Linked DNA regions of Caenorhabditis elegans. The protein of the gene in region 2 interacts with the protein of the main gene of each other region in a pairwise test. Each region holds a gene or a part of one and is shown on either strand. Other genes may lie near its edges.

Evidence for each region. Proteins that work in one complex are often made in the same cells at the same time.
Region 1: the proteins of gcy-35 (region 2) and pdl-1 interact in a two-hybrid assay, tested with the Caenorhabditis elegans proteins (one study listed by BioGRID).

Annotation. Positions count from the first base shown.
Region 1 is NC_003280.10:7,181,877-7,185,838, reverse strand, and holds pdl-1 (Phosphodiesterase delta-like protein), read right to left. Parts: upstream 2,039-3,962; 5' UTR 2,015-2,038; coding exon 1,849-2,014; intron 1,830-1,848; exon of another isoform or gene 1,761-1,829; intron 1,564-1,760; coding exon 1,438-1,563; intron 1,421-1,437; exon of another isoform or gene 1,347-1,420; intron 1,338-1,346; coding exon 1,232-1,337; intron 762-1,231; coding exon 680-761; 3' UTR 545-679; downstream 1-544. Other genes in the region: C27H5.6 (G_PROTEIN_RECEP_F1_2 domain-containing protein), read left to right, coding at 217-347, 407-472.
Region 2 is NC_003279.8:13,323,659-13,328,249, reverse strand, and holds the start of gcy-35 (Soluble guanylate cyclase gcy-35), read right to left. Parts: upstream 3,021-4,591; 5' UTR 2,889-3,020; coding exon 2,886-2,888; intron 2,631-2,885; coding exon 2,557-2,630; intron 1,949-2,556; coding exon 1,741-1,948; intron 1,066-1,740; coding exon 906-1,065; intron 759-905; exon of another isoform or gene 683-758; intron 644-682; coding exon 450-643; intron 281-449; coding exon 179-280; intron 138-178; coding exon 6-137; intron 1-5. UniProt on the Caenorhabditis elegans protein: Plays a central role in social feeding behavior and oxygen sensation by synthesizing 3',5'-cyclic guanosine monophosphate (cGMP) from GTP.

The DNA.
Region 1 (3,962 bases), on a different chromosome or scaffold from region 2:
TCAACCAATTTAACTAGTTCAACTCTTGTCAAAGCCTTGACCAAAATGAACTGTCAAACACTAAAATTGAAGTCTGAAATAACATTTCAATATCACTTTGAATAATGAGATAATAACATATAAACTAGAAAGAAAAGCTAGTTAATTCTTAATTAACTTAAGAATTAATTAAGAATTAACTTTAAATTATTTTTTTCAAATAGTTAATGTTTCCAGGTGTTGCCTATCTTCTCTATGGTTTCCAATCTTGTTTCAACCTTCCCATCTTTTACTTTTTCCGTCTCGAATTCCGTCGCCGGTGCCACGAACTTCTCCGTTTCCGTCGTAACGGGACAAACACAATTGTGGTAAGATTGATGCATGTCCTTTCATTTTTCAATTATTTTCAGTTCTTCCTATTTTTCAGTCGAACGACATGAGTCGCCAGAAGCTATCACGTGTCAATGCTTCATTTGTGAACACTGCAATCTAAATGTATTTTTGGGACAATTTTCCTGAGCTATTCAATTTGTAAAATATATTCATATGTACATAGATGAATAAATAAATCCGTTGAAGATTTTCATTCTGAAATTGAATATTAAAATTAGGTATGTATTGTTTTAGGAATTAAAAAAGAGAGATCCATGGAGAAACAGGGAAGGATTAGAAGGGAAAAATGGATATGAATGTATATGTATTAGTCGTAATAAAGACGGACTCGAGACGTGCTTACAAGAAGATCTCCATCATAGAATAAAGTCTCGACGACGACGTTTCCGCTGAAAAATTGAGATTGTATTTTCAATCGTTCGAAATGTCAAGGCCTCGAACACAATTTAATGTTATTTTTATAGTAGGATTAAGTAGTTATATATAAGATGGTGTGCAGCATCTCCTGTGGTACGAAAATTACATACCATAAAGAATACTAAAACGTTTCAAAACTCAAAAAAAAAACTATCGGTAATTACTCAGTTTTCACCAGTACAAATATTGAAAGTCTGTTTTAATTTTTATAAAAAACACTGTATTGGTAAAATCCTACAGCAATGTTTGAAATTACTCAAAAACCCAATTTTTGAATTTTTGCCAATTTACCAAAACGCTGACTGATATAAAAAATGTTTGATTACGATACTCGGTCATGTTTACCTAATAACTATTAAGGTTTGCATGTTTCTGTTTCTAGTATCTTGAAGTGAAGCTTTGAAGCTTAGAAATCTAGTACTTTTGCACTTGTTTTACTTACCTGAGTACAGATGGTGGGAACATTTGTGATTCTGGAGCTGCCTCAATCATATTTTGCCACGTGTTTGTTGAATCAGGAATGACAAATCCAAAATCGAAATACCACTCTGAAGTCGGAATACATAATTAGTTTTCATCACCAGAAGCCAATATTATTCATCCATTGCGTGCAATAACATAATGAATATTCGAGTGATTCTATCTTACCTTCAATGATGGTTCCCTTCAAATAAACGCGTTGCTCGAGTCGAAATTTTTCGATTTTGACTGATGAAGTGAAGTTGATCTCACGAGACACCGTACGACATTTTAGAAGATTCTTTGGCACGTGTGCTGCAATCCATTAGTTTTTATTTGTTGGCTTCAAGCAATTCTATTTTTGTAGGAAAAACGCATTGCATTAGAGACCAGCGGTAAAAGACATGTGAAGGCTTAACTACACGCTCAGTGTTGCTTGCTAGCTGTGGCAGAATGGCGCAGTGGATGTGCGCGCGCATTGGGGGGAGACGCTCTCGCGTTCGTTCCCTCGTGTTGTCAGTGACGATATTACTTACCGCCCCAGGCATAGTGTTTGTGATGATTGGTTTATTCCGAGACTTTTTTTGAAATTCTTATTACCTTTGTGTTCCCTTTTTGGGTCAGCCATGTCTTCTGTGCTCTGCCAGAGAACTTTTCCAGTTTCTGCATCACGCAAGTTCATCCAGTTGAGCTTGAAGCCAGCCAGAATGCTCTCTGCCTTTTCGCTCAATTTAGAATCTTGATGACGAGTAGCGGTAGTGGCCATGACTGGAGCTCTACTCTCTGAAGAAAGTGATGTTTTGAGGAAATGACGACAGACCGAGGCACAAGAAAGAGGAACCGGTCATCTTAGGAACAAGGAAAAGTCAATATTGACGAAAAGTGACGATTGCCGGAAAAAGAGCATAAAAAATGAGTGTTCCCGAAGAGTGGTCATTATGAAAAAAAGAACACGTGGAGATCATTGAATTCATAAAGGAAGTCGTGTTATAAGTGGCACTTACATTTTATGAAAAAGGGAAGAGAATAAGAGAAGTAACTCGTATTCATACAATTATATATTACTGCTTATATATTTCTTTTCGTAATTCGACGGTTCTGTGGTTTGAGCAGGATGGGATTAGGTGATAATTTAGAGAAATATCATATTATTTCAATAATTCCCTAGATAAAGCTATGACTAGTAAGTCGGGCACTTATAACGCAGAAATTGCAATAGAAAATTTTCTTCAGAAAATCTACATAAATAGTCGATTGTAGTGTTTAAACAGAAAATGTATTTTTAAAAAAATATTATTTGAACTTATTTGTAATTCTGAAAATTTTGTATCGTTTAGATAACCTACAAATTGAAAGTAGGAATTGAAACAAACAGAACAAAAAAATATGTGCAAATTTTTGCATGTAATTAAAATTTCCAAACAATTTTGGTGTGTATGAAAGAAAGCAAATAAATAAATTTAAAAAGTCGACCAAAACATATTCAATTTCAAGAGGCAAGACGAGGTGAGATGATGTGATAGAAAAGGCGTGAAAAAGTTTTTACGAAATTTTAGAGGAAGCGCAGTCTCTGGCACAATGTTTTCACGGCCTTCTCGTTGCTCCCAGCTCAACCCCGACTGCGGTGGACGGAGAAAGCTCCAAATTAACCGAAAAGAGCGCGTCGTTGGGATGAGAGAAATAGAGAAATATGCGAAAGAAGTGAAGATGGCAGAAAGGAGAAAAAGAGACACAGGGAAAGGCTCTATTGAGTTGAAGAAGAAGAAGAAGAAGAAGAAGAAGGAAAATTGTGAAAAAAAAAGGAAAAAGAAGACGAAAATGACGGAAATGGAGAGAAAAAGGAAGAAGGATTTTAAGACGATCGGAGGGAAATGAGAAAAGTCTGAATGTTAAAACGGTGAGCTAGATGAGGGAACGAATGTAGGCGGAGTCATGGAGTCACTTGAATTGTTAAGTATATTCACGAGGTGGCTGATGAACAGGGTTTAAGACTTTGAGAACATTTTTGTTTGGAAAATGTGGGCATTTTATTGCAAAATCACAACAGCAGGAAAAAAGAAAATTATTTTTGATGTAAGGTGTGCCTTTTATAACCCTTGAAGTTATATACTGTTATTTACATGAACTTCCAAGTGATTCACACACACAACAAATGCAGTTACAAGTGCAGTGCATATTCAGTTTACATCGAACATTTTCTAACATTTTCTAGGTTAAAAAAAAAGAATTTGAAGTTCGAGTTCGAGCAAATCGAAAGGTTCTATGTTTCTTCTATACATATTTAAGTCTAATTTTTTAACTCCTGAAGTTTCTGCCTCGGGTTTTTGAGTTTTACCGAAAATAAGACTGTGCAATACATCGTCTGTGAAGATGGGAAAAGCTTTCAATCAAAACTACAGAAAACATTTACAAAATACAAGCTCCAAGTGACAAAACAAGCATTCAAACATTGAAAGTTGTTTGCTTAACAAAATACTTTTCAATGTTATCTTTAGATTTTTCTACCTCTCTCTTCAAAAATAGTATACTTTCAAAATACAAAGGGCAACAATTGCATCGAAATCAAATTTTTGTAGCAAGTTAAAAATTCTATAAAAATACTGTTAATTATTCTCTGAGATCTTGATTCGTGTTTAAAACTTTGGTCATACACAGTCAATCTTATTGGAATTCAATATACAATCTTTTAGTTATTTCTTGTTGGGAAATAATTA
Region 2 (4,591 bases):
CCTACCTTCAATCTGAACACAAAAAGTGAATTCTTATAATATTTGATAGATTCATAAGAGAACGGAACTTCCGGATGCACCAACTCTAGAAGATCAGTGACTCGTGTCTCTTGGCGCATCGCATTTGGAAACGTTTTCTGAACAATTTTGAAAATTTTAGAAGCCTAGTTATTGGTACCTTGATAAAGTTTCCAAAATGCTCGACGAAAAGGTCAGGATCGAAACAAATGTGATAAGGGAATGCCAAGGAAAAGTCGGACGATGAGATCTCGTAGATTCCCTAGAAAATTAGAACTTGCTCGGTTTAGCAGCTCGTATCTCGGCTACCGTTTAAGATATTAAAAGTGTTAAACAGCAAAATTATAGTAAAATAAATGCCACACATTTTGTTAGTTAATAATTTTTGACCCAGACCACCGGCAACCGAGATATGAGATGTCAAACCTTACCGTTGATAAATCAATTTGTGAGTCAGCTTTTGAAGAAATCGATTTTGGCTGAGTACTGTTAGCATTTTCAATTTGGGTAATTACAAAGACCACGTGTTCCGTCACAAATGCATCCAAATGTTCCTGTTTTCGTTCTTGAACTTTCATGACAACTTCTGTGTCATAGATACGACGAGCCACTTCTCTTACAACGCCTGGAAGTTGAAGGGGTTTATCTATACTGTGGTCTGAGTTATCAAAAAGTTGTCAACTGATAAAATGTCGAGCATAAAACGATGAGCATTTTGTTAGTTGACATAATTTTGATATCAACTAAACTGAAAGAGTTATAGCCGTTTTTAGAGAGGAGGAGAGAGAGATCGCAGACGACGAGAGTACTCTCGTTTCTCTGCGTCTCCTCTACATTTCAACGCCCCCGCAAAATATACCACTGTACAATTAAAAATGCATCTGTACCTTTAACAATAGGATATAAACCACTGCGCTTCGAGTAATAATGAAGAAGAAGAGTTCCATCTGCCTGAACATCACATCGAAATGATGGACCACGGAGTTTTGTCTTGTACACGACGTGATCAATGAAATAGTGAAGTGAGTCAAGGGAATCCAAGAAGCCCTGAATTCATAAAGTATTTTGTTAGTTGACAAATTTTTAGTAGTAAAAAAATTGGAAGAGATATACAGGTTTGAATTGGGGATTGGAAAACTGAGTCACATTTCTTTTTCTAGACTAGTGAAAAAGAGATCACATTTACGAAGATCAGGCGATTTTGATAAAATGAATAACTTATCTATGGGCGATAAGGAAATACTTTAAATTTTTGATGTATTCATGTAATAAATAAGTTTTTGAGGGAGAACTCTGTGGCCGAGAAAAATAGGAAATTAGGCTCTCTACAGAAGTTTGGAAAAGTTCCAAAAACTTCTGCCCGAGTTTTTCCTCTGCCATGGGAGTTTTTTCTTACGTTGCCGTGAAATAAAAAAAAACTCGGCCACCCTCAAGACATGGATACGCATTGATCTGAAAAACCAGAAAGATCTGAAAAACCAAAGACAAATCAATGACCGAATTTTTTATTTTTCTAGGCCACGTAGCAAAACGTTATGAGACGGGTCTTCAAGAAGTGTTCAGAAATAATGTGTGATAAAAAATTTGCACATTTTCCCTGCGAGACCCAGGAAAATTACCAACTTAAGACCCTTTGGTGGTAGCTTGAATCTCAAAAATTTTTTAAAACGAGTTTCAAAAATGGTGAAAAAAGCGCTGAAAAAATTCGAGTTCACTTCTCACCTCCAAATCCGGAGCCATTGCTCTGAGCAGTTCATCCCATCCGGTTTCCATTGTAAATTGAATCAAAAAACCTCCATAAGCCTCCCAAATTTCCTCAATTGGAATTCCAATCACATTTGCCATTGAATTGACAAGACGCAGAGTTTCATCGTCATTATAATAATGAGCAATTTCACTTTCAGTTCCCAACTCGAATTTTGACATGTGCCTGGATAATGGATGTTTTGAAGTAAGAGAGTGAGGGAGAGGAGAGAGAGTGTGTGATGCGGGGAGGGCGCAGAGAAACGAGGCGCTCTGACTTCTCTGCGTCTCTCCTTGCTGTTCTTTTCGCACATGTAACTTTGTTGGTTTTGCAGATATTAAAAAAATTTTAACTAAAAAAATGTTCAAAATTTTACGGGCTATGTTTTGTTAGTTGACATTTTTTCGATAAAGTTGTTACCTAAAAAGTTATAAAGGTTTTTAGAAACCTCGCCATTTTTTCAGCATCTAGAATTACTTTCAAATATGCTATAATTTTAAAAATTTTTTCTAACTTTGTTATTTCCAAAACTCCTATGGTAGACGAATAGGCATCCTTCACAACTGCTTTCATATGTGCCTACGTACCTACCTCACGCCTACTTTATGCAGACTCCAAAGTTTGGTCTTTGACGCAATTCTCATCGTAACATTTTCTTGTTTAGATTAATATATTAAAAGTTCAGTTGACACTTTGGCGGTAGACAGGCATGAGGTAGGCGTAGGCCGCCTTGAAGGCAGGCAGGTAGGAAAGCAGGTATTTCGGACTTTTAAGAGTAAATTTTGAAAACCTACACGATCTTCTCCCAAATATCTTTTCCATATTTCCTTGTGACAAGTTGCCTGAAGCTTTCGTGAATCCAGCCGAACTGAAATTTAAAAAAAATTAATTTTACACGTGGAGTTAGAGTGTCTCATTTCGGTTTGATCTACACAGATCTACAAAAATGCGGGAGAAGAGACGCAGAGTTTTCAACTGATTTCGCATAGTTAAGAACGTGTTGACGTCACATATTTTTAGAAAAAAATTCCCGCATTTTTTGTAGATCAAACCGTAGTGGGACAGCCTGGCACCACGTGATTTTAATTTAGTAAACAAAAATCTATTTCCTTAAAATACTCACCATATTCTACTCTCCGCAAAAAAGTAACGTATATAATATATATTTTTCAAAAATTCCAAATATGAAGACTTTGGGTGTAAGTTTGAAACGAGTCGGGGTGGCGGGGAGCCATTGCGTGTCAGATGATCATTAGCCATTCGTCACAACCACTTTTCGCATGATAACATGAAGAAATTGGATGGAAGAAGGGAGATGACACAGAATTTATGATGATGATAGGATTCTGGGGGGTTCGATGCAGTCTTCGAGGGACTTTGATGGGTTTTTTGAATTAAAAAAGACGAAAAAAAAATAAATCTGCGTTCGGGGGGAATCGAACCCCCGTCGAATGCTTGGAAGGCATCCATGCTGACCATTACACCCCGAACGCGGCGAGTGCGGGTGGTCTAAATTGGGTTTATGAAAGAAGGTTCAACAGACGCAGAGATAATTCGGTAGCTGAAAACTTTCGATCGTGTCAAGACCATGATTTTGAGTAAACAGTTCATTTGAAAAGCATTTTCAAATATTTTTAAATTCAATAATTAAATTTTAACTCGCGCGGGGCTAATTTGAACCCGAACAATCGTGGTTTGATCTACCGATCCAGGGATTGTCTCTCGCAACACTTGTGCTTCAAACTCATCTCCCACCTCCAGTCAGTTATCATATCTATACACACACACACACAGGATATCCCTCTGTCTCTTCCTTGCTCTTTTTCATGAGCACACCACCAATATCCCCCGTGTGCCCTTTCAATGAAACAGTACGGTGATCGGAGAGACGCAGACAGAGTTGGCTCACCGCGGGAGCATTCAGGAAGACTATGGGGGCTCAAATTTGTCCAATCAGACACACTGATTTTTGATGTGTTTTTCAAGTTTTCATTTTTTTTAGACTTAAAAGTTTGATTAACTTGTAATTTATAGTATTTTTAGAAGAAAGAGACGCCCAACGTATGTTTTGATAATTTTTCCCTGTGTTGAAAAAAAGTGATATCAATATCTCTTTTTATCACCGGCTTTCAAGCTTCTCCCCTAATCCATGCGATTTGGCAAACAACATGTTCTCATCATATAGTTGCCATGTTACCCAATTTTCTCTTTGCCTCCGAAACCAACGTGAATCACCGCGTTCGTGGTGTAATGGTCAGCATGGATGCCTTCCAAGCATTCGACGGGGGTTCGATTCCCCCCGAACGCATTATGCTTTTTGCCTGTGTTTGGATTCTCAATATTAACAGAAAATCTATCTGTGCCCACCCCATTGTTTCTCAATCAGCCTCATGAATTATTCAATTCTCCCTACTTTTTTTTTCATTCACATATATATTTGGGGAAATGTCGGCTGACTCTTCCGACCGGAAATTTGATGTTTGGGGGGTATAGGCTTATGGAAAAGGACACCACGCCTCCCGCAATTTTTTAGAATGACAAAAAATCTGGTTTTTTGCGGTTTGGACTAATTTTAGGATTATTTTGGAGAAGAAAATGATGGAGCGGCATGCTAATCCCCTGTCATTTCCTCAAAATAATTTTTAGATTTTTTCTCAAAGTTTTTTCTAAATTTTTTTTTGCAAGAATTCTGGAAAAAAACCGATTTTTTGAAAACATTTCTACAAATTTTCTTCTCTCAAAATGATTTTCACAGATCATCAAATTTTCCATCATTTTTTTTTCAAAAAAAAAACTTCATTGGAAATTCCCATTGATCTTCGAAAATTT